2 linked regions of the Tribolium castaneum genome follow. The protein of the gene in region 2 interacts with the protein of the main gene of each other region in a pairwise test. Links are inferred from orthologs where the notes say so. Each region holds a gene or a part of one and is shown on either strand. Other genes may lie near its edges.

Region 1 (13,047 bases), on a different chromosome or scaffold from region 2:
TGAGTGACTCATTTTAAATTCAGTAACTAAAAATTAAATCAAACACTCAAACAGTTTATTGCCACGTAATAATTTTGTCTTTAATTTCAATGAATGAAAGTGGCTTGCTCAAAATTTAATGCAAAGAAACATTTTTTTTTTGGTTTCTTTTTTATTATTATTATTTTTTATGCTACAAACGGTAGCCAACGTGGAAGCGAAACACAGGTACGTCCATTTTATTGTTGTGTCGTATTTATTTATTTCACAAACCAATAATTCGTTAAAATTTAATTGCAATTACAATGTTGCTCTAAATACGGTGTTGAAAAGTCATAGTTTGAGTGACTCATTTTAAATTCAGTAACTAAAAATTAAATCAAACACTCAAACAGTTTATTGCCACGTAATAATTTTGTCTTTAATTTCAATGAATGAAAGTGGCTTGCTCAAAATTTAATGCAAAGAAACATTTTTTTTTTGGTTTCTTTTTTATTATTATTATTTTTTATGCTACAAACGGTAGCCAACGAGGAAGCGAAACACAGGTACGTCCATTTTATTGTTGTGTCGTATTTATTTATTTCACAAACCAATAATTCGTTAAAATTTAATTGCAATTACAATGTCGTATACACCGGCTCTAAATACGGTGTTGAAAAGTCATAGTTTGAGTGACTCATTTTAAATTCAGTAACTAAAAATTAAATCAAACACTCAAACAGTTTATTGCCACGTAATAATTTTGTCTTTAATTTCAATGAATGAAAGTGGCTTGCTCAAAATTTAATGCAAAGAAACATTTTTTTTTTGGTTTCTTTTTTATTATTATTATTTTTTATGCTACAAACGGTAGCCAACGTGGAAGCGAAACACAGGTACGTCCATTTTATTGTTGTGTCGTATTTATTTATTTATTTCACAAACCAATAATTTCATAAAATTTAATTGCAATTACAATGTCGTATACACCGGCTCTAAATACGGTGTTGAAAAGTCATAGTTTGAGTGACTCATTTTAAATTCAGTAACTAAAAATTAAATCAAACACTCAAACAGTTTATTGCCACGTAATAATTTTGTCTTTAATTTCAATGAATGAAAGTGGCTTGCTCAAAATTTAATGCAAAGTAACATTTTTTTTTTGGTTTCTTTTTTATTATTATTATTTTTTATGCTACAAACGGTAGCCAACGTGGAAGCGAAACACAGGTACGTCCATTTTATTGTTGTGTCGTATTTATTTATTTATTTCACAAACCAATAATTTGATAAAATTTAATTGCAATTACAATGTTGCTCTAAATACGGTGTTGAAAAGTCATAGTTTGAGTGACTCATTTTAAATTCAGTAACTAAAAATTAAATCAAACACTCAAACAGTTTATTGCCACGTAATAATTTTGTCTTTAATTTCAATGAATGAAAGTGGCTTGCTCAAAATTTAATGCAAAGAAACATTTTTTTTTTGGTTTCTTTTTTATTATTATTATTTTTTATGCTACAAACGGTAGCCAACGAGGAAGCGAAACACAGGTACGTCCATTTTATTGTTGTGTCGTATTTATTTATTTCACAAACCAATAATTCGTTAAAATTTAATTGCAATTACAATGTCGTATACACCGGCTCTAAATACGGTGTTGAAAAGTCATAGTTTGAGTGACTCATTTTAAATTCAGTAACTATAAACAAAATCAAACACTCAAACATTTTATTGCCACGTAATAATTTTCTCTTTAATTTCAATGAATGAAAGTGGCTTGCTCAAAATTTAATGCAAATAAATATTTTTTTTTGGTTTCATTTTTATTATTATTTTTTTATGCTACAAACGGTAGCCAACGTGGAAGCGATATGAAGGTAGGTGCATTTTTTTGCATTTTATCTTGTGATGTGTTGAATTTAATAGCTTGTGTGCCATATATTATACCGTATTGTGCATCCTTTATTCTGTATAATATTTATTAGTGTCGCTTGTTGTAACTTTCCTACAAATTAATTTTTTTTGTTGGTTGTGTTTTTAATTTATTTTTTAGGTTTTGCTACAAATGGTAGCAGATGCAGTATAAAGGTAAGAGCATTTATTTAACGCCAAGTGAAAAAACTTTGATTTTTGTGTACTATTTTTTCATTTCACAAACCAATAATTCTTTTATTCCCTTCATTTTCAAATAATCATTGTTTACCTCATCCTTATATCCTTTTTTCCTGGCAAGAATGCTCTAAACCTCCACGTGGTTCTTGCCGGACAAATTAGTTATTGACTAATTTGACCAATTAGAGCAATCCTTAAATATAACATTGTTGATTGTTTTTTACAGCCGTAAAATTATGTCGCTTGTTGTAATTTTCATGCAAATAAAGATTTTTTTATTGGTGTTGTTTTTAATTTTTTTTAATGCTACAAACGGTAGCCAACGTGGAAGCGAAACACAGGTACGTCCATTTTATTGTTGTGTCGTATTTATTTATTTATTTCACAAACCAATAATTTCATAAAATTTAATTGCAATTACAATGTCGTATACACCGGCTCTAAATACGGTGTTGAAAAGTCAGTTTGAGTGACTCATTTTAAATTCAGTAACTATTAATAAAATCAAACACTCAAACAATTTATTGCCACGTAATAATTTTGTCTTTAATTTCAATGAATGAAAGTGGCTTGCTCAAAATTTAATGCAAAGAAACATTTTTTTTTTTGGTTTCTTTTTTATTATTATTATTTTTTATGCTACAAACGGTAGCCAACGTGGAAGCGAAACACAGGTACGTCCATTTTATTGTTGTGTCGTATTTATTTATTTATTTCACAAACCAATAATTTCATAAAATTTAATTGCAATTACAATGTCGTATACACCGGCTCTAAATACGGTGTTGAAAAGTCATAGTTTGAGTGACTCATTTTAAATTCAGTAACTAAAAATTAAATCAAACACTCAAACAGTTTATTGCCACGTAATAATTTTGTCTTTAATTTCAATGAATGAAAGTGGCTTGCTCAAAATTTAATGCAAAGAAACATTTTTTTTTTGGTTTCTTTTTTATTATTATTATTTTTTATGCTACAAACGGTAGCCAACGTGGAAGCGAAACACAGGTACGTCCATTTTATTGTTGTGTCGTATTTATTTATTTATTTTACAAACCAATAATTTCATAAAATTTAATTGCAATTACAATGTTGCTCTAAATACGGTGTTGAAAAGTCATAGTTTGAGTGACTCATTTTAAATTCAGTAACTAAAAATTAAATCAAACACTCAAACAGTTTATTGCCACGTAATAATTTTGTCTTTAACTTCAATGAATGAAAGTGGCTTGCTCAAAATTTAATGCAAAGAAACATTTTTTTTTGGTTTCTTTTTTATTATTATTATTTTTTTTGCTACAAACGGTAGCCAACGTGGAAGCGAAACACAGGTACGTCCATTTTATTGTTGTGTCGTATTTATTTATTTCACAAACCAATAATTTCATAAAATTTAATTGCAATTACAATGTCGTATACACCGGCTCTAAATACGGTGTTGAAAAGTCAGTTTGAGTGACTCATTTTAAATTCAGTAACTATTAATAAAATCAAACACTCAAACAATTTATTGCCACGTAATAATTTTGTCTTTAATTTCAATGAATGAAAGTGGCTTGCTCAAAATTTAATGCAAAGAAACATTTTTTTTTTGGTTTCTTTTTTATTATTATTATTTTTTATGCTACAAACGGTAGCCAACGTGGAAGCGAAACACAGGTACGTCCATTTTATTGTTGTGTCGTATTTATTTATTTCACAAACCAATAATTCGTTAAAATTTAATTGCAAATAAAATGTTGTGTACACCGGCTCTAATACGGTGTTGAAAAGTCATAGTTTGAGTTTTAAATTCAGTAACTAAAAAGAAAACACTCAAACAATTTATCGTCGCGTTTTGATTTTGTCTTTAATTTCAATCGATGAAAGTCACTTGCTCTAAATTTAATGCAAACATTTTTTTTTGGTTTCATTTTTATTATTATTATTTTTTTAATGCTACAAACGGTAGCCAACGTGGAAGCGATATGAAGGTAGGTGTATTTATTTACTGAAGTTTTAAATTTAAATTGCCACATATTAAAACGTATTGTGTATTTTTTATTTTGTTTAATATTGACAAATGTTGCTTGTTGTAACTTTCATGCAAATAAAGATTTTTTATTGGTGTTGTTTTTATTTTTTAATGTCTTGCTACAAACAGTAGCCAACGCAGAAGCCATATGAAGGTAGGTGCATTTTTTTGCGTTTTATCTTGTGATGTGTTGAATTTAATAGCTTGTGTGCCATATATTATACCGTATTGTGCATCCTTTATTCTGTATAATATTTATTAGTGTCGCTTTTTGTAACTTTCCTACAAATTATTTTTTTTTGTTGGTTGTGTTTTTAATTTATTTTTTAGGTTTTGCTACAAATGGTAGCAGATGCAGTATAAAGGTAAGAACATTTATTTAACGCCAAGTGAAAAACTTTGATTTTTGTGTACTTTTTTTTTATTACACAAACCAGTAATGTCTTTATTCCCTTTTATTTTCCAATAATCATTGTTTACCTCATCCTTATTTCCTTTTTTCCTGGCAAGAATGCTCTAAACCTCCACGTGGTTCTTGCTGGACAAATTAGTTATTAATTTGACTGATTAGAGCAATCTTTAAATACGAATTTTTTTAACGCAGTTTGCAAAATTGAGACATTTTTTTACAGCCGAAGGCCCTATCGAAGGGCTTATTCCCCTACAAAAATAATGAACATTGCACGGTAAAAAGGGGGTGAAAAAAAACAATTTGCATTGCTTGAATATAAGAATAAAAATGTAGTCAAGTTTTAATTTGTAATAGAAACACATTAGAATGATCAGGGTATGTTTTTCTAATGATTTACGATTATTTTGATAATTTTCCTGGTGTGAACTTGGCTGTAGAAACGAGAATGTTGCTAGCTCCAGGCGCGCAACGATTGTCTGGTCGACTGTAATGTTCATGGTGCCATCATCATTTTTAGTGCATCTGCACAGATATCTCGGCCACAGTGTTTTTCACTTTGTGCGGTTGGCGACACATCAAGCTAAGTTAGCAAAAATGGCGTTGTTTTGTGCCCGTAAGTATGAATTTTTGTTGCGATTTTGAATAAAGTACGCTTTTTTAACGAATCAAAACTTAATTCGAGTGTCAGTAATGAGCTTCTGGCGCAGTTTGGGTAACGATTTGGCCCGGTTTCAGTTTCAAACGAGGTGCCGGAACACCCAGTCGTGTCCCCAACGTCGGGTGCGATTTTCGAAAAACGCATCATCGAAAAGTACATCCAGGAGCACGGCAAGGACCCCATCAGCGGTGACGAGCTCACCGTGGACAAGCTCATTGAAATTAAGAGTGAGTAGCCTAACCCAACTTGTTCGGTTCTAACCGCCACACAGCCCCGCCGATAGTCAAGCCGAAGCCGCCGAGCGCCACCAGCATCCCGGCCACGCTGAAGCTGCTGCAGGACGAGTGGGACGCCGTGATGCTGTACAGCTTCACGCAGAGGCAGCAGCTGCAGACGGCGCGCCAGGAGCTGAGCCACGCGCTCTACCAGCACGACGCCGCGTGTCGCGTGATCGCGCGCCTCAACAAGGAGGTGACCGCCGCCAGGGAGGCGCTGGCCACGCTGAAGCCCCAAGCGGGCATCATCACGGTGCCGCAGCCCGCGGTGGCGGCCGAGGCCGGCGGCATCGCCAACCAGCCGACAGAGCAATGCGGCCTGACTGATGAAGTGATTGAGAAGCTGCAGGACAAGGCCACGGTGTTGACGCAGGAGAGGAAGAAGAGGAGCAAGACGGTGCCTGAAGAGGTGTCCACGCCGGAGCAGTTGAGGGGATTCAAGACTTTGGCCTCACATCCGGTATATTTTCAATGTTTTTATTTATACCATCCAGTATTTCCCCGAACATCTCTTGCATTTTGCACAATTGTCGTTTTAAAAATTTCACTTGACAAATGCAAAGATTACTAAATGTGGTAGAAAATGACTTAGTTTTCTCTCTTACGAGTGTTTTAGCACATTTACCAATTGGAAAAACGTGTAAAGGTTGGTGTTATTTTGCTGGATTTACTCGATTTAGCTTGTTATTGGGCGAAATTTCATCAAAAATAAGCCAAAAGTCACAGGATGTGTTCAAAACACTGATATTTTTTAACTAAATGTTCGTTCAAATAAAAGAATTTCTTTCTAACCTAATTCTAATTGAATTGAGCCAAAAATGCGTTGTTTTTTTTAAGTAAATATCTAAATATTTCAATAAAGTGATCGAAAATGATGTCATTTCAGGTTGTTTATCTCGAACTTATTCTGAGAAATCAGGAAATTAATTTGGGAAATCTTCTATTTTCGTAATACATTTTGCAGTCAAAAAGCAAAATTTCGTTGAAATCTTGTTATTTTTGCCATTTTCCGGCAATTTAATTCGTATAACATTCGACAATGTAGTTATTTCGAATTTTTTTTTTAAGATAAGAGCGAAAATGTTACATTTTTTTGTTGTTTTCAAGTGTTTTAAATTTTTTTTGAAAACAATTTAAGCTTTTTTCTATAAACATTACAAAAACTTAATAAAAAAGCACTATTTTTACATCAAGATGGTTGTTATTTTAGACCATTCCCTTCGATTTTGTTTGTTTTTGAGCCAGGAATTTATTTATTTCCCAACAATAAAAATATAAACTTATTATTTTGTTTTTATTAACTTTGATTAACTTTCGCGAAATTCCCTTTAAAAAAAAACGCAAGAAACCACAAAATTTGATCAAAATTTTTACGTTTTTTAAGCTTTAGAGCACGTTTTTGAATTTAATTTTCAGCTTTTTTGGCGAAATTTTGCAAAACCAACTGAGAAAAACATGCAGAAATAATTTTTCTGTTTTTTGAGGCTTTTCTAAAAAGGTAGATGAAAAAAACACCAAATTAATTCTAAGATTTTATTATTTTTCGAGTTCACGAGCATTTTAGTACGCTTTTAAGACAGAACTGTTTTCCAAATTTCGTAAAAAAAATAAAAAGCCGACTCTTTTATTTTACGAGATCTTGACAAAACACCTAAAAATCAAAAACTTATTATCAGCTTATTTTTGAATGAAATGTTCCCAAAAACAAGACAAGAAACCAATGAAATTGTTAAAATTCTTATTTTTTCTTTATTCATGCTTTCAAGCACATTTGAATTTTTGTTTTAATCGCCAAATTAAATATAGAAAACTACATTAATTTTTCATTTGCGATCATTTTAATACGTTTTACACTTAAAACCACAAATATTCCGCAAAATTTCGTTCAAAACCATTCGGAAACTAATTTATTTTGTAATATCTTGTCACATAAGTGAATCGACATTAATTATTATTTAATTATTTAGTATATTTGAGTTTGAGTGAAATTCGTCAAAACTCATTATAAATAAGTCGAAAATTGTGTTAGTTTTACTTTTTTCCGGGCTGTAAGCACAAACTTTTGCTAGAATTGGCTAAAATCATCAAATTAATTAACACAATAACAAGTGTTCATTTAAAAAAAACTCTAGAGTGCTTTGAAAATAAAAAAATAATTGTTTACTATGTCTGTGATTAATCCGTTCTTTCATAACCTTACTTTTTGACAACTAAAAGAAAACAGATTTTCATCATAAAATTTATTTATTATTTATAAAAACTGTTGGAAATGTCTTCCTTGTTGTTCAACACACATAACACATCGCCTTTGAACACTATTTAACAATCTTTGGCTATGAATTGTGATGACCTGGTTGATAGGCAACCAACAATACAATGATAAAAATTGATCTACGAAATCCGTAAAAATGTCAGAGCATGCTACGAGTTTTTTTTAAATAATGAACACCTGATACCATTTATTTAGTTCGCTCTTGAACCAGGAAATTCTTCATTTCATTAGAACTCGCCAAAACTGCCAAAAATTCACTTTTAATTCAGCTCATTTTTTGACCTAAATTTGGTTAATCTTTTTTTACTTTTATTAAGGTTTTGAACCACATTTTCAGTTTGTTCAAGCAAACCGAAAAATCACCAAGTTCGGGCGAAAATTAGCAGATTACATTTTTTATTGAGCTAGAGTACACTTTACAGAGTAATTTCTTTGCCTCCAGGGGCTGCATTCGGCGAGCGTCCCCGGTATTTTGGCCCTTGACGTGCACAATTCCGACACAAGCAAAATTCTGACCGGTGGTAATGATCGCAACGCCACCGTATTCAACAAAGACACGGAACAAGTTGTGGCGATTCTCAAAGGCCACACTAAAAAAGTCACAAAAGTGGTCTACCACCCTGACGAGGACCTTGTTATCACCGCATCGCCCGACTCCACAATCCGCGTTTGGAACGTGCCAACGTCCCAAACCACTCTACTGCTGCGCGTCCACGAAGGTCCAATCACCGGACTGTCCCTGCATCCGACTGGGGACTACGTCCTGTCGGCTTCAGAGGACCAGCATTGGGCGTTTTCGGACATCAGAACGGGCGAACTGTTGACGAAAGTCGCCGACCAGAGCAATATTCCCCTGACGACGGCCCAGCTGCATCCAGACGGGCTGATTTTCGGCACGGGGACGGCGAATTCCCAAGTCAAGATTTGGGACCTGAAGGAGCAGCTCAATGTTGCGACTTGCACCGGACATGCGGGGGCGATCACAGCCATTTCGTTCTCGGAGAATGGGTATTACATGGCGACGGCTGACGATGCCTGCGTCAAGTTGTGGGATTTGAGGAAAGTGAGGAACTTTAAAACGCTCCAGTTGGATGAGGATTACCAAATCAAGGACTTGTGCTTTGATCAGAGCGGGACCTATTTGGCGGTGGCGGGAACTGATGTCAGGTAAACAATTTTTTTAATTTTGATTTGTTTCTAATTTTTTTTTTCTTAGGGTGTATTTCTGTAAGCAATGGCAGGAACTGAAGGTGTTCAATGACCACACGGCTGCAGCGACGGGTGTTAGGTTCGGTAAAGACGCCAGGTTTATAGCTTCCACTTCCATGGACAGGACATTAAAATTGTACGGTTTAGATTAGGGATAAATTGACTGCGAGTTGTACACAATAGTTTGTCGTCTTGCATTTCGCATAATTAGGTCTTAAAGTACGATTACTTTATGTTAATGTTTATTTTAATTTTACAAATAAAGTGATTAAATCTCAACTTGTTTATCTTCCGTCCCTAAAAACCTTTCCTCATAAGTGACCTATAAGCGCACCAAAAGCATGCGAGGCTAAATTTAAATTCGTGCTCTGACGTTAACAAAAAAGAGACTTCTACTCTTTACTTGATACGAAATCATTTCACTTAAACTTGAAACTATCTAAATTTTCTTTCGCTTCTTAAAATTTTTATCAAAATTTGAGAAAAATGTGTAAATCACAAAATGCGAAATATCTCAGTTCCTGTGGGAGATAGAGGGGTGGTTCTGCCCTTTTGAAAACCCCACTGTCCCGTAGTACTTTTCCTGGGCTATCGAATGGAGTGGGTCCCGTTCCCGTATCTCAATCAGGGACCGAAATAGCACTGCACATTTTTAAATCGGGAATCGAAGTACATGACGTAATAGAGCGTCAAAAGTTACGTGTGCATGCAAAATTTCAAGTCGTTACGACAACCGGAAGTGCCCCAAATTTAAGTTCAAAGTATTCATAAATTCGGAAGAAAACAAAGCAAGTTGATAAAAACTGCAAATAAAAAACTCTGGCTTTTTTGTTAAAAGTTTTTTTAATGTGATTTTATTTCACTTAAACTTGAAACTACCAAAATTTTCTTTCGCTTCTTAAAATTTTTATCAAAATTTGAGAAAAATGTGTAAATCACAAAATGCGAAATATCTCCGTTCCTGTAGGAGATAGAGGGGTGGTTCTGCCCTTTTGAAAACCCCACCGTCCCGTAGTACTTTTCCTGGGCTATCGAATAGGCTAGGTCCCGTTCCCGTATCTCCATCAGGAACCGAAATAGCACTGCACATTTTTAAATCGGGAATCGAAGTACATGACGTAATAGTGCTCCAAAAGTTACGTGTGCATGCAAAATTTCAAGTCGTTACGACAACCGGAAGTGCCCCAAATTTAAGTTCAAAGTATTCATAAATTCGGAAGAAAACAAAGCAAGTTGATAAAAATTGCAAATAAAAAACTCTGGCTTTTTTGTTAAAAGTTTTTTTATGTGATTTTATTTCACTTAAACTTGAAACTACCAAAATTTTCTTTCACTTATGAAAATTTTTATGAAAATTTGAGAAAAATGTGTAAATCACAAAATGCGAAATATCTCCGTTCCTGTAAGAGATAGAGGGGTAGTTCTGCGCTTTTGAAAACCCCAGGGCACCGTAGTATTTTTCCTGGGCTATCGAATAGGCTAGGTCCCGTTCCCGTATCTCAACCAGGGACCGAAATAGCACTGCACATTTTTTAATCACTAATCGGGGTACATGACGTAATAGAGCGTCAAAAGTTACGTGTGCATGCAAAATTTCAAGTCGTTACGACAACCGGAAGTGCCCCAAATTTAAGTTCAAAATATTCATAAATCCGGAAGACAAAAAAAAAAGTTGATAAAAACTACTAATAAAAAACTCAGGCTTTTTTGTTAAAAATTTTTTTTAATGTGATTTGTTTGGAGTCATTTTTTGCGAATCAATTTTGAGGCACTTCCTGTTATCGTAGCGACTTGAAATTTTGCATGCACACGTAACTTTTGACGCTCTATTACGTCATGTACTCCGATAAGTGATTTAAAAATGTGCAGTGCTATTTCGGTTCCTGGTGGAGATACGGGAACGGGACCTATTCCATTCGATAGCCCAGGAAAAGTACTACGGGACGGTGGGGTTTTCAAAAGGGCAGAACCACCCCTCTATCTCCTACAGGAACGGAGATATTTCGCATTTTGTGAATCTCAGGTTTTATAAAATTTTTGCTAATTTTTATGAAATTTTTTGAAATTTTACAAAAATTTAGAAAAATAGCACTTTATTTTTACAGTGGTAGTTTTCATCCACAATTTCTTCTAAATGCTCTTAGAGCCTGGTTTTTCATATTTGTTAAAAAACATTAAAAAATGTCACTGTCTTGTTAAAACCTCTTTCTAATACACATTTTGGTTTTAAATTATAATAAAACTTTAATCTAAATGATAGGCAATCTACAATACTCTAGTTTGTATAGGTGGCTGCCTACGAACAACTTTTAAAAATTGCAAGATTTTAATCGATTTGTGAAAAGTAAGCTGTTTTTATACGTTGGCAATGGGTTGGAACCATTTTGCTAAGAAGAAGACAAAATCCCCAACAAAACAATAATTTATTTGCGAAAGTTACACAACAAAAGCAATAATCAATTACAAGGAACTCCAGTGAATTTTTCAATCCTGTCCACCAGGTAAGCATTGTACTCCTCGTAATCCACTGGCGCCACAGTCACCACAACAGTCTTCATTTTCTGCTCATCCTGCAAAACAACCATAGAAAAAACACCCAAAACGCCGGAATTGTACATTGTAGGTTTCAATTTTGGCGCGACACTTGAAAATAAATTGCTTAAACTGCGCCTCTTCAAACATATTTGCTACAGTATCAGGATCCGTCTCCATCAGCTCCCCAATTTCCTGCGCTGTTTTCCCCAAAATTTTCTCCGCTTCTGAGGAAAAAACAGTAACCCACTGACTACTCGACGAATCGGCCACGTTCATCTAAATTAAATTTAAAAATATACTTGGGGAATCCCACGTCTGATTTTTACCGAAACCAACAGACGGTACTTGAAATTCGGAAATTCCCGGTTGCATTTTTCACACCGGTACATTCCATTCTCCAAATCGAGGACCTTCTTCTGGCAATCAGCGTTCGGACACGACTTGTACACCGCTCTGTCGAGGCGAACCAACAAAATCGTCCCGAAAGTTTGGTAGTAAAGCGGTTTTTCGGAAATGGTCTGTTGGCGCGCTTCTTTGAACGTCAGCCATGGCGTAGATCCGTATCCGTTCCTATAAAAAAAATACACAGTAGAACCTCTTTAACCCGACAGATGCCTTAAAGATAATAAGTTCGTTGTATTCATGTATTTTTTGTCATCTACAAATAATAATACAGAGTGTAATTTTTAATTGTAAAAAATAAAAACAAACCTATGACTGACATTCGTTATTTCCACCTGATTCCCTTCCGAATGGTACCACCGCCTCAAAATGTGGGTTTCCCGTATTTCTGGGTCAATTTTAAGCAAACTAGTGCCCATCAAAGTGATACTTTTCGCACCTCTAAATTCATAAATCTTTGCATTTTTAACCAAAATCACCGGATTACCGGTGACTGCGAACGACTCTGCCTGTGAGCCCCACAAATTCAGAGAAATCTGCCCAAAAACACGAATTTAAAAAAAAACACCCAAAAAAAACAAAAAAAATTACCGCGGTTTTGGTCTGATCGACTAACACGAGCTGTCTTTTCTGCATCTCGCGATTGGTTGATTTCGCCACAAAACTCTGCAGTTCCGAAATTGTCTTGCAAACGCCGATCACGTCTAAAATACTCATTCTCTAAATTTAAAACGTCGGCAACCAACAATACACGCATGCACACAGTGCTGGGTTTTACCCAATTACCAACAATGGTCCCAGCTTCCATGACCGCTACTTTATCAATCGTGGTGAAATTGTACGTTATTTGTGGGATGATCTCATTGTCGTCATAACTCGGCTCGATGATCGTTTCCGGGGTGAAGTACATTTCAAACTGGTGCTTTAAGGAGCAAAATTGGCGATTGATTGGCTGGAGCTGGCATTTGCTAATGTAGTAAACCTTGTCGACCTGGAATTTCGCACGTGATTGGGGGAAAACCTTGGGTGGTTTACCTCAAGGCGATCGAAAAACTTATCAACAAGGTCCCGGAAAGCGGTGCATCTGATTTCGCCCCCTTTGTCGACCAAATCGATGCTGAAAAGCTTACCCTCCCCCTTGGCATTGCTCCAGTTTCTCACATTCGTCTTATTAACGACTCTCGCCCTAATTA
Region 2 (12,530 bases):
TGAACGAACGAACCAGAAACTTACTTACCTAAAAAAAAAAAAGCAGAATTTGATAGATAAATTATTTTATTTGGAACGTTAACTCGTACATAAACTAATTTTTGAGGTGATATGACATGATTTTGTTGATTATCTACTTTTTCAAGTTCAACCCTTTCTATTTTTAAAGAAGTAAAAATATATTATAATATATTGAAAAACAAGTAGATAATATTATATTCGACATCTAAATAAGAAATGTATTGAGAATATCGTTTTTTTGGGAATGTATTATACAGTATGTGTTAGAAATAGGTAAGGTTGGCAACTTTTTTGACATTTCTCCTGTCAGAAATGCTTCTCGATGTCGTCGCATGGCGTCGCCGCGCTCGCTCATTATTCCGCGGTCATAAAGCGGCCACCTTTGGAATTTATTCGCCATCGTCGCGATTAAATTAAATTGACTAATCAGCGCGTTCCGACTGTCTCTTTTTTCCTTCACTCGTCTTCGTCTCGGTGTTTTTATTTTTTATTCCTCTACAACCGAAACCAGTTCCTGAATACCGCAGAAGCGGCAGCAACAGGAGCAGCAGCAGCAGCACCAGCACACATCCATCGGTGCAATAATTTTCGCAATGAGCTTATCTCGCAGATAGCGAGAGTGAGTTTCAGGTAGGTAGTGGGCCCCTGATGAAGGTGCACCACCCGCGTTCGGCCTTGAAATCGACCGTCGTCGCAATGCAAAGAATTCGCCGAGTTCATCGAGCAGGCCGCGATAAAAACAAAAGTGACATAACGAAAGTCAATCGACGCGTAAATGAGACGTCACCCCCAGGCGTACCACACACGCCGTACCAAAATTCCCAGCATCCCCCAATAACAATAGACGATCGGGGGAGAAATACGGCTCTTTCACTGTTGTGACTACTTTGTCGGTGTGAAACGGCCGGATTTGGACGAGTTATTTATTGCTTGTCACACTAACGAGGAATTTGAAAAATGTCATTAGTGTGGGCGGGCGCTTTTACATCGGCGAATTTATTTATGAAAAACACAATAGAATCAAAAACCCCGACGTTTCAATGCTAGCTTAATGCGAAATAAAAAACTCACCACGTTCACGAAATCTTGGAATGTAATCGCCGGTGTTGTGGCACTCCTGGCCTTTTCTAACAGGATCTCGCGTTTTCCAGTGCCGACGCGATGACGAAACTCCGGGTCCGACATTGCTGAAATCAAGTCGCCCCAGGGGATTTCCCCGAAACCCTCCGGGTCGTACTGCCAACACGCGGCGTTAAAAGTCACCAACTTGTTACAGAGTATGGAAATTGCTTCTTTAAATACAAAGCACAACAATTTTTTTTTGCTATCTTTTATATTAAATTATATCTAGATTAACTTTATTTAAATTTATTAAATATTTAATAAATAATTTTAATATTAAATGCTAAATATTTAAATTTTATTAAAACATATTTTTTTAACTTAACTCAAAAACTCAAAGGAATTTCGAAAAAAAAATAAAAAAATGATCACAATTTCAAAGCACTTAATGATGTGCTTACTATTTTTAAGACTAAGGATCGGTTTATAAACGTCATTAATTTAATCCGCAATTAAATGCGTGATTAACTGATCACGTGACCAAATTGAGCCAATTTGATTGGTGTATCGGCTAAATTTAGGGAAATCTCATGAAAATCCCTTTAAAATAACTTGATTTATCTAGAAACGCAGTAAAAAACATATCTTTTTATTCAAAATAAGAAAGTTAATACCGACTTCCGGTATAACCGGAAGTGCCGCCATGTTGAAAATATCGCGGCTTTACACAATTTGCAGATACTTATAATTATTAGAACATTCAGTACTTTTAATATGCCGTTTAAGCGAAACAGCCTGTATATTGTGGCGTTTATTTAAAAAGTTTTTCTTTTTAGGTTTACTTGATTTTCAAAATTTTGATTTTTCAAAGATTTTGGCGGTTTTGAATATTTTTTTTTCTGAGATTTGACATGATGGCCAGTTTTTGATAAAATTACATAAAAGACACGTAATAGACATCAAAAAAATAAGAAAACATGTTCACTTGTGATATTAAAAGATGCTAAAAGCGAAAAAAGCACTTTCCATACTCATCAGAAACAGTTATTTGTTGGATTTTTTGATCATCCGTGTGTACCTTGTCGAAAAACTGGCGCCATTGCTGTAATAAAAAGTATATATTTTGTGTTTTTTGCATTTTTGGGCGCTCACGTCTCGTAAAAGTGTTCGTTTGAGTTCGGCCTCGTCCGATTCGCTCGCCAGATCCGTGTGATCCGTGTCGTAATGATCCGGAAACGAGGCCAAAGATCCGGTGATTGTCGCTATGTGTCCGGGTTCGATTCCGGATTCCGATGATTGGGCATGAGTAAGATTTGTTGGCAGGATTTGGGTGGTAGAGGGCGACACTCGATGAGGCCACGCCGAGTGCGACAGCATAATACCGGTAACTGCATGGACCGGTTTGCGTCTCGGCTAACTAAAATTTGCAATTTATGCCAAAAAATTGTCTTTGCATATTGTTTTTTATTTTACTACTGTTATTGTTGTTGTTACAGCTGTGAATGATCCTTGTCGCCGATTAAGTGGTACGAAAACTGAAAAAATGGACGAATTTTCCTCACAGCACCATTCACAATCGGAAAAACTCAACGAAAAGGTTTTCCTCGCACTAAAAAACCATACACCTGTCTCAAAAAAACTGAAAAAAAACAAAAACACGCCACACGTTCTGCACTCCGGCAATTTCCACTTTTCCCCAACGTCAACTCGAAATTCCCCTATCGTGAAAATTCATCCCCTCTCGAGAAAATCGTAAGGTTTCATTGATTTTAAATCTAGTCGGCCGGGGGAAGATTGGGGTGGTTTTGGCCGAAGTTAGGGTGAAACATTTGACGGGCGACAAGCGTGAATCACAGAGGGTGCGTGTCTAGACCAAATAATCAGAAATTCCGTTTCTTTTCATTAAATTTAAGGGAGAATTAGATTTTTTCGAATCGTTTAGGGATTTGTTGTTTGTCAAGTTTGACAATGTTTTTCTTTTAAATAATCATCTTGCTTTCGCAGTAATTATACATTACTTTATGTTTTCCACCCAAATGCGCGAAGGACGTTAAAAACGTATAGAAAATTTCGAAAGTAGCACTTTATTTAGAGTACAAATATTTAAGGGTTAGGATATGAAAAGATGTAGAAAATAAAACGTTCCCGTCCTATGTTTTCAGACCAATGAATTTGAAAAAAAAATTGTATACCGTTTAACACATAGCAAAGAAAAAAATATAGGCACATAGAATATTAAATTCTCCATAGTAGGACATAAACATAATACAAAAATTTTATCGTAAACTATATTTAAAAAAACTTGTACCAATTTGCACTCTACCCCATATTTTTCAAAACGCTGTGAATAGAGTTACAGATGCAAGAAAAATGTTAAAAAGAAAGTTGTAGAAAATTAAATTTTTTACAAAAAAGTCCGGGACACCATGTTTTTATGAAGATAAAAACATGAAGATAAACTGTTGAAGAACAGTTTAGGTATAAATTACGTTTCCGTTACTTGAGCGTTTTTGAACGTTTTTAGAACCTAAACTGTTGACGATAGAGATATGGCGTCACGAATTTTTTATATTAAATTTATTTCTCTACAAATTTCTTCAAAATTATTTCCTTGTATCTTTAACTATATTCGCAAAGTCTTGAAAAATACGGGACGAAACGCAAATTGTAAAATTTTAATAATTTTTTTTCTCGTATTTTTTTATGAAAATTTTAGACCATTAAGAGTACAAAGCTCAATATTTTCGCGTTTTTTTTCAAGTAATAGTGAATTCGTTGGGTTTAAATAAATTTGGCGCCGAAACAATATAACGTTTGAAGCGCCCTCATTTTTACTCCACCGGACTATTTTTTTGGGTTCAGATAATTTTGAGATTTCGTATTTTCTTTCGTCTCCTAACTTATAGTCCTCCGTAGCATTCTCTAGTTTAGGGATTTGCCAATTGTCAAGTTTGTTGATTTAGTAACAAAAGACGTCAATAATGTTTTGCTCGTAAAGTCTTCAATTTTGGAAATAATTCTCCAAAATATTGGGATTAAACAAGATGAATATTATCGAGGAACGCACTTATGAGATTACAAGCAAATTGGAGAAAGTCAGTGATTTGGTAATCGTGACATAATCTAACTTATGCCCGTAGGAGAAATCTAACCTATCTTTGCTGACTGAAAGACTGAAAAAAAGCTCTCAAATCACGAAAGGCATTGATACGATTCTCAATTCGTTTGAGGAGCGTCTTTCACGGCTTGAAGACACTATTTTACCGGTCTACAATGATACCGAAAATTTACAAAAATCACAAGTCAGTATCCTTGAAACGCCCCTAGTTTTCGTCTCAAATATCAAATTTAGTTGATTTTCCTTGACTCAAATAACCAGATATCGACCAAACTCTCACATATCTCGACGATGTTATAAGCTATTACAACGTATCAAGTGACGTTGAAAGCACAATTGAGAAAGGACCTGGTGAGAGCGGTATCGATTTAGACGACTACATCCACTCATTAAATCGCCTGGCGAAAGCCCAGAAATATTTCGAAAAACACATCCCCCAAAGCGTGGAACTCGAAAATGTCGTACGTCTAACCCCCATTTTTTAGGTCAACAAAATTTAAAACAGGTTTTTAGACCACTTTATTTCATAAAGGTAGCGACAAACTCAATTCCGAATTTAAAACAATTTTGGACAAATACAACACTCCAATGCTTCCGGTCGTTCTCCTCGATTTGATCAATTACGAGAATTCTGACAACCGCGAAAAGCTCCCACCTGTTCAAATTCCAGACCATACGAAAGCCTATTTGATTAAAATCGCAAATTGGCTACTTGACAACGGCCGAGATGAATATTTAACAGTTTATGGTAAAGTGCGTGGGGCTGTTTTACAGCGGTCTTTGACCATGTTACGCAACCACCAGAAGAGCGTAAGCGGTGGGAGTGTCCATGGTGTTGCCAGTTCACCAATGCTGGTTGGTAACTTGTGCTGGTACTAGGGCTGGGCAAGATAATCGAGTAATCAGTTGATTAATCAAATAATCGGTTAATCGTTATTGACACAAAGTACGTTCAAATATAAAAATTTTATCCGGAATTTTTCGGAACTATTCGGGTTTTTCCGTCGGAAATAAACCTTTACTCAGATGGCGCTACGGATAGTGGCGGCAAATTTGAATTCAATCTAAACCTTGTTCGTTTTTTTTTTCATTTAATAATAAAACAAAATTATAAATATAATTAAACACTAACAGAAAGTACTAAATATAAATATTAGACTACTTACAGATCATTTACAACATAAGTATAGTTTCAGACACAATAAGTTATCTTTTTAGACGTTTCTGCATGATACAATGGAGAATATTAGAATCGAAATACTGGAAATTTTTATTTGTCTGTCCTAACCTTCTTTACTTCCGCTTCTGCTTAAAATTGGTTTCACTAAAGAATTATTGTAAATTAAGAGTGTTAACTTCTTACATTAGAGAGAATTAGATTAAGAATACGTGATAAATACTAAATACTAGATTGGGCTTTGGTTATGCGGTTTTTTCTGTAGTTATAAAGTGTTTTTTGTTGGAATTTGAAAGAGAACTAAAAGTGTAGAAGATTAATTTTTTGATTACAAAATGTTATTAAAACAATTGTATACTTAAAGACTATAAGTAATGGATCATAGCGAGCACATGTTGGGCTCAAAAAAAAAGACAACAAATTAGTGAAGTGTGTGAATTTTAAGTTAGAATTTTTCCACTAAAAAAATCATGTAATACTTCGGTAAATTTACAAAACTGCAATTAAGATTAACAACTGCTGTTACATTTAAGCATAAGTTACAAAAGGTGGTCTTTTCAATGTCTGTAATAATTTTACGTAATATTAAATTACGTATTATGCTAATATCATAAAATAGTGAGAAACACAAACAAAAAGAATAAATAAATACTGCAAGAAATTTTGCAAGATTGTATTTCAAGTGTTTTTTTTTACCAATATCTTTGAAACTAAATGGTCGTAAATTTTACATTAGACTCAGGCTATTCTGATAGTTTCGAGACAATCTGTTATAACACTTTAATTATTTTGGTTTTATTCCTTTTTTTAGCCGTACCACTTGATAAATCTAACATTTTAAACAGTACCTGAAAATAACTAATTAAATGTAACTAAAAATAGTTAATTAAAAATACAAAAAAAAATAAAAAAGGGCTTAAATAATGATCAATTAATTTTTTATTTTAAAACTTTTGGTATTTTGAGAGCTTTTTCTAATAATATTTTTTATACTATTGATGGTACCGTAAAAACAAAAGCAGATTTGGAATTCTCTGAAAATTCTGCATTAGATTCCAGTTATTCTGATTGTTTAAGAACTCAAGACAAGTTCTTATAACTTATAACATTTTTTGGTAATTTGAAAAGTAATTTTATTTTATTTTTTACAGCGGTACCATTTTTATAAATTAAATTGTCCAGGCAGTATCTAGGAATTAATCTATCTAAAAAGTTATTTACTTAAAAATACTAAAAAACTAGAAGAAAAGAACTTTAAAACCTATCTAATAAGTAGAATTTTTCAAGTAGTTTTTTACTAATATCTTTTAAACTATTGGTCATACCGTAAATACAAAAACAAATGTGGATTTCTCAGAAAATTTCGCGTTAGATTTCGGCCACTTTAATTATCTAGAATCTTGAAACAATTTTTTAAAACACATTATTTGGGCACTTTATGGTAATGTAAAAATTAATTTTGGTTTTATTCATTTTAATTAATTAATTATTAATAAATTATTATTATTATTATTCTTAATTAATTTAATTAATTAATTTTACTTTCGAATAATAACTGAGATCCCCATGGTGGTCGCCCATTATATCACCCTTTGTGTGGTATCTACCAATATCGCATATTTTGTTTTTGTTGCCATTCTGAACCAGTTGTATATTCTAAAAGTAGGTAAACATTTTCCAACTGTTTTTCTAACTGTCGATGTGATTAATCGATTACTCGAAATCAAAATCGCCCAGGCCTAGTTAGTACCACTCTAATACCAACTTGAGAAAAACAAATTGTAGCGCCCCAAATTTCAAAACCGACATGAAGCTAGTCGCAAGCCATCAACGCGCCGCCTCCACCACGCCTTCGAACGCAAAGCCAATCGCATGCTTTTAAAAGCATCGCAAACGCTTGAACATTCGACAGGTTTCACTCTCGGCACCCGACGCGCCTCCTCCCACCTCGACCCCTCCTACAACGGGGAGGAGTTTGACAACGAGCAAGAACTAGAGAATTATCTAGTGTGCGTGATCGCGCTACACAAACTGATGCAAATCGAGCAAGCCTTGATCAAGGGCATAATCGCGCCAAGGCACCAGCCCCGAGTTTTCGAATTGATAGTCAGGGAGGCCATGGACACAATCGTCCAAGATGGCGAGGTTTGTAGCCAGGGTTGTGTTATCACTTTTTTAAAAAGGTTTCAGAATATAGTCTCGCGTGCGAAGAAATGCATCAGTCGGCACGATTTCGGCACAGTTTTGGTCGTTTTCCCGATTTTGAAGCAGCTGCGTTCGCTGAAACCCGAGTTTGAACGAACGGTGGAGGAGTGCGATTTGAATGTCAAGTCGAAGTTTGACGCCATTTTGGGGATGTTGCACTCGACGGTGAGCGATTTGATTGGTTGTTGGTGGTGTTTGATTGGTTGCTAGGGGGCGAAAGCACTCGAGGACTTCATCGAGAGTTTACGGTCCGATTCGGTGACGCAGTTGCCTAGCGACGGGACCGTGCACGAGCTCACAAGCAACGTGATCATGTTTTTGGAACAATTGCTCGATTATACCGACACTATTGGCATGGTTCTGGCACAGGATGTTAGTTATTCGAGACAATTGGACCGTTTGAAGGCCGCTGACACGAACAAGGCCCTTCTGGGCCTTTATATTAGTAATAATTTTTGATCAAACTTGAGTGGACGTTTTTATTTTTCGAATTTTAGAGAAGGTTTTAGTGCAGTTGAACCACACGTTGATTAGTAAAAGCGAACAGTATAGTGACCCAGCTTTGAAGGCAATTTTCCGCTTAAATAACAACAATTATGTGCTGAAGTCGCTCCAGCGCAGCTCATTACTGGAGTTGTACCTAATTTCCGAACCGAAATGTGAGGAATATTACTATAACTCTATCCAAGAACACAAGAAAGCTTACTCGCAAAGGTATCAGTAGTGAATGGGAGGGTGGCGCCCTCTATGTATATTTTTCAGTTGGGGCAAACTCTTGAACTACATCTGGTGTGACGACTCGCCTGTTAATCTTTTGCACGGTGATAAGCTCCGTGATAAAGACAGGGCCGTAATTAAGGAGAAATTTGCTGTGAGTGGCCTTAAAACCTAAAAAATGGCGCCACAAAACGGTTTTTTCAGGGTTTTAATAAAGAAATTGAAGACATCGCCAAAGTTCAGCGCGGATATTCGATTCCAGACGTCGAATTGCGCGAAAGTATCAAAAGGGATAATAAAGAGTTGATTATTCCGAAATACAATTCGTTTTATAACATGTAAGTGAGTTGGTTGTGTGTAAAAATTAAATTGTGTGTGTGTTTCACAGGTATGCAGGTGTCCAATTTACAAAGAACCCGGAAAAGTACATCAAGCATAAGCCTGATGAGGTGTCCGCGGTTATTGACCGTTTCTTTGATGTGGCGGCCTAAATATAGAATTTGAAAGTTTGATAAATAAATAAATTTTTCCGAAACTTGGGTTTTGTCATATTTTTTGTGCCCCCAGCCGATTTTTTGTTGCCATAGGCGATTTTTTGTGCTATTTTTTGTGAGCTCCGACAAAATTGATTTTATTTTTCAGCACTAGAAAATTGTAATTTTGTAATTTTTCGAAAAGTCGTTTTTTGTCGAAGTTTTTGTGACCATCGCCAATTTTTTGCGCCATTTTTTGCTACCACCCGCGATTTTTTGTGCTATTTTTTGCGAGCTCCGACAAAATTTATTTTATTTTTCAGCACTAGAAAATTGTAATTTTTCGAAAAGTCGTTTTTTATCGAAGTTTTTGTGACCTAGCCAATTTTTTGTGCAATTTTTTGCTACCACCCGCGATTTTTTGCGCTATTTTTTGCTACCACCCTCCATTTTTTGCGAACTTCAAGAAAATGCATTTTATTTTTCAGCACTAACAAATTTTCACTTTTCGTAAAGTTGTTTTTTGTCGCAGTTTTTGTGACCATAGCTGATTTTTTGCTCTCTTTTTTGCGACTACAGCTGATTTTTTTATGGGGGGACGGGAGGAAATAAAGTTTCGAATTTTTAACAGTTCGTTTATTTTAATTTTTTTTTTAATTGCTTTGAACTCGCCTTACACGAGTTGTATCGGCCTCAACAATTTCGCGTCCAATTTGTTCGTTTTGTGCTTCCGTGCCAATTCGACTCTCACCAACGTAAAAATTTCCAAAACGATGCAAACTTCCGGTTCCTCGACAGTCCTTGGAAATTTAACAAAAATCTTCCACATCTTCTTCGCAGTTTCCTCATCGCTTGAACTTTTCCTTACTTTAATTTCCTCACTTTTCCACGTAACTTTATCCCCAAAATTCTAATAAACAAAACATGACAAACAAAAACAAACCTAACACAACTTACATTTGTATAAATCCTGACAACACTTCCCGTCCTAATCACAATAACATCAATAGACCTTTCTTTCGCATCCACAACCACTGCATTTTCAATCACTGGTTGATTCTTTTCGACAAAATGGGCCAAAAACAGGTCACTACTAGCCTCCCCGGCCCGCTTGGCGTGATATTTCTGCCGGTTACACGTTTCGGCAATCGTTGCCACCTCCTCAGGCGCCCAAGTGGGTTTCTCTCGATAGTTTAAACTCGCTGCGAGCAGTCTGTGCACCATTATGTCAGCATATCGACGGATTGGTGACGTAAAGTGGGTGTAGATGGGTATACTGAGGGCGTAATGACTGTAATCGAGCTCCTCCTCAAGGGCACCGGCACAAAAATATCGCGCCCTCTTCATAGGCTTGGCCAGGAGGTGGTTGAGGACGATCATGCGGGCTTTGCCAAAATCGTCCTCACTGATGTACTTGTTCAAGGAGGCTTGGATGCCCCCCGAAGTGGAGATGTCGATGTGGAGGCCCAGGGTTTCGAGGCTTTTTTGGAGCTCGGTCATCATGGTCGGCTTGGGCGCCTCGTGAAGTCTTCACAATTATTATTATTATTTCATTTATTATTGATAAACATAAAAATAAATGGTGCAGACTACGGAGGACTATAAGTTAGGAGACGAATCGCGATACTTAATCGCAGGATTTTCTGAACCCAAAAAAATAGTACGGTAGAGTAAAAATGAGGGCGCTTCGAGCGGTATACCGACTCGGCGCCTAATTTTAATTATTGGAAAAAATACATAAATGTTAAATTTTGCATCCTAACAGACTGAGAAAAACTGACGATTTAAATTTTCAAAGGAAACTACAGTAAAAAATTATTTAAAGTTTATGCTTTGGTAAAGCACTACCATGTATTGAAAGACCGAGAACAAAAAATTGTTACCAAATGCAGTTTCGTTTTTTGGGACCGAATTAGAATTCGGAATTAAGTTATATTAAATTAAACTGTTAGCTTAAAATCAATCACTTTATAAAGGCTACGTGATTCCAAGACCATTTCGTTTTGATTTTGGTCTACAAAGGGATTTAAAAATATTAGGTGGTACATATTATTCTGATTTAAAAATTGTGTCAGATGTAATAAATTGTGCAAGAACCAAGGGCTCGAAGTATTGGAGAAATTATAAATAGTTATTGTAATGTTTAATTATATGTTCTTCCAAATTTTAATACTGATTCAAGACCCAAATTTCTTAATTTTTGCTATACTATTTAATTTAGTTATAAAGAAATATAATAAAAAATAAACAAAACACAAAAATATTTTTTTTGCAAACAAAATTTAGCAAAGTTTCAAACCGAAATATATAGATTCCACTGGAGCGGACCAGTAGCTCCCCGAACGGCCGTTTTTTTGACACTGGACAGATAACGAAAAAACCAATAACTAACTTTTTATTAAACTTCTTGTTGGATTTCCTTGGCGTGGAAAATATTTAATTTATTTAAAAATATTTAATTTATTTAACTTTTTATTAAACTTATCGAATTGGCATGGGGGTAACAAACGTAATTTTGAAAATTTAAGATTTTTAAGATAATCTATTTTTAAAACCATAATAAATCGAGTTTGTGTAGGAATATGTACTTCTGGGTGTTGCCAACTTGATTTAACTTTGATTGAGTTAAAAAACATTGTAAAATGGTGAAAAACTCACCTCAGAAAGGCCAGGTCCGGGTAGGCCTCATTTATCCACTTGGCCACGGTCATGTTGGCCAAAAGCATAAACTCCTCTATTAATCTATGCGCTGGTTTATTTTCACAAATGTAAAACTCTTTCGGTTCTCCGGTTGCTGGATCCAGCACGAAACCAATTTTAATTTGATCAATTTTCAACGACCCATTTTGCCTCCGTTTCTCCCTCAAACAAACGGCAATCCTTTGCAAATCATTGACCCGCTTACTGAGATCATGTGCATTAAACCCGTTGTAAATCTCCGGAAGCTCGTCTCGTTCAAACTTCCGGTCCGGATCATCAATCATGACTTGCGCATGCTCGTAGGCTAGTTGAACACATGAATTGATCACTGATCGCTTGATCCGAAAATCGACTATATCACCAGTCGGTGTCAACTCCCAAAAAACACTAAATGCGAGTTTATCTTCACCCGGAAGTAGCGAACAATGGAAGCACAACTCCACCGGAAGCATGTGATACACACTGTCAACCATGTAGATCGTAGTAGCTTTGCTTTTCACAATTTCGTCCAGTCGCGTGTTTTCCGGAAGGAAAAACGAAGCATCGGAAATGTGAACGCCAACTTCGTAATTCCCATTTGGCAACTCCTTGCACGACAAAGCATCGTCCAAATCGCGTGCTGTGATTGGATCAATCGTAAAAACACACTCTTTGCGTAAATCCTCACGATTTTTTAAGTCACTTGTTGAAATTTTCGAACTTTTTGGCAGGAATGGCCTGATATCGTCACCGAACGGAGTCGGATCGAGACAAAATTCGCGCAAAATCGCCAAAGACTCGATTTTGAGATCACCACTCAAACCCAAATTCTCGGTAATCGTGCCTATGGCATACTTTACGTCTTTCCAATCCGTTATTTTAACGATGAAAAGAATGTCTTGGTATAGTTGGGGTTTGGATTGGAAACCACTTGGCCAACTTATTCTCGGAATTTTGATTTTCGGGATGCGTTTGTCGCGTGGGGTGAACAGGGCGTACTCTTTATTCTTTTCAATGGGGGCAAGGAAACCAACAGCGGTCCGGGGGTGAATCTGGAACGAACCGCCACTGGTGTAAC

The links.
Region 1: the proteins of Exo70 (region 2) and Prp19 interact in a two-hybrid assay, tested with the Homo sapiens proteins (2 studies listed by BioGRID and IntAct, with this or other methods). The link is inferred for Tribolium castaneum from reciprocal best matches to the Homo sapiens genes EXOC7 and PRPF19.

What each region holds. Positions count from the first base shown.
Region 1 is NC_087395.1:23,122,425-23,135,471, forward strand, and holds Prp19 (pre-mRNA-processing factor 19), read left to right. Parts: upstream 1-4,984; 5' UTR 4,985-4,992; coding exon 4,993-5,116; intron 5,117-5,238; coding exon 5,239-5,388; intron 5,389-5,432; coding exon 5,433-5,896; intron 5,897-8,150; coding exon 8,151-8,875; intron 8,876-8,924; coding exon 8,925-9,069; 3' UTR 9,070-9,196; downstream 9,197-13,047. Other genes in the region: replication protein A 70 kDa DNA-binding subunit, read right to left, coding at 11,374-11,487, 11,534-11,728, 11,779-12,022, 12,164-12,390, 12,446-12,558, 12,641-12,845, 12,890-13,047. UniProt on the Homo sapiens protein: Ubiquitin-protein ligase which is a core component of several complexes mainly involved pre-mRNA splicing and DNA repair. Required for pre-mRNA splicing as component of the spliceosome.
Region 2 is NC_087399.1:7,151,044-7,163,573, forward strand, and holds the end of Exo70 (exocyst complex component 7), read left to right. Parts: intron 1-1,092; coding exon of another isoform or gene 1,093-1,257; intron 1,258-2,161; coding exon of another isoform or gene 2,162-2,185; intron 2,186-2,235; coding exon of another isoform or gene 2,236-2,460; exon of another isoform or gene 2,461-2,500; intron 2,501-2,556; exon of another isoform or gene 2,557-2,579; 5' UTR 2,580-4,127; coding exon 4,128-4,178; intron 4,179-4,223; coding exon 4,224-4,389; intron 4,390-4,462; coding exon 4,463-4,662; intron 4,663-4,714; coding exon 4,715-5,056; intron 5,057-7,163; coding exon 7,164-7,523; intron 7,524-7,568; coding exon 7,569-7,748; intron 7,749-7,793; coding exon 7,794-8,028; intron 8,029-8,080; coding exon 8,081-8,297; intron 8,298-8,345; coding exon 8,346-8,454; intron 8,455-8,504; coding exon 8,505-8,638; intron 8,639-8,688; coding exon 8,689-8,791; 3' UTR 8,792-8,839; downstream 8,840-12,530. Other genes in the region: stet (uncharacterized protein LOC657740), read right to left, coding at 1,093-1,257, 2,162-2,185, 2,236-2,460; Dis3l2 (DIS3-like exonuclease 2), read right to left, coding at 9,447-9,683, 9,731-10,301, 11,432-12,504. UniProt on the Homo sapiens protein: Component of the exocyst complex involved in the docking of exocytic vesicles with fusion sites on the plasma membrane.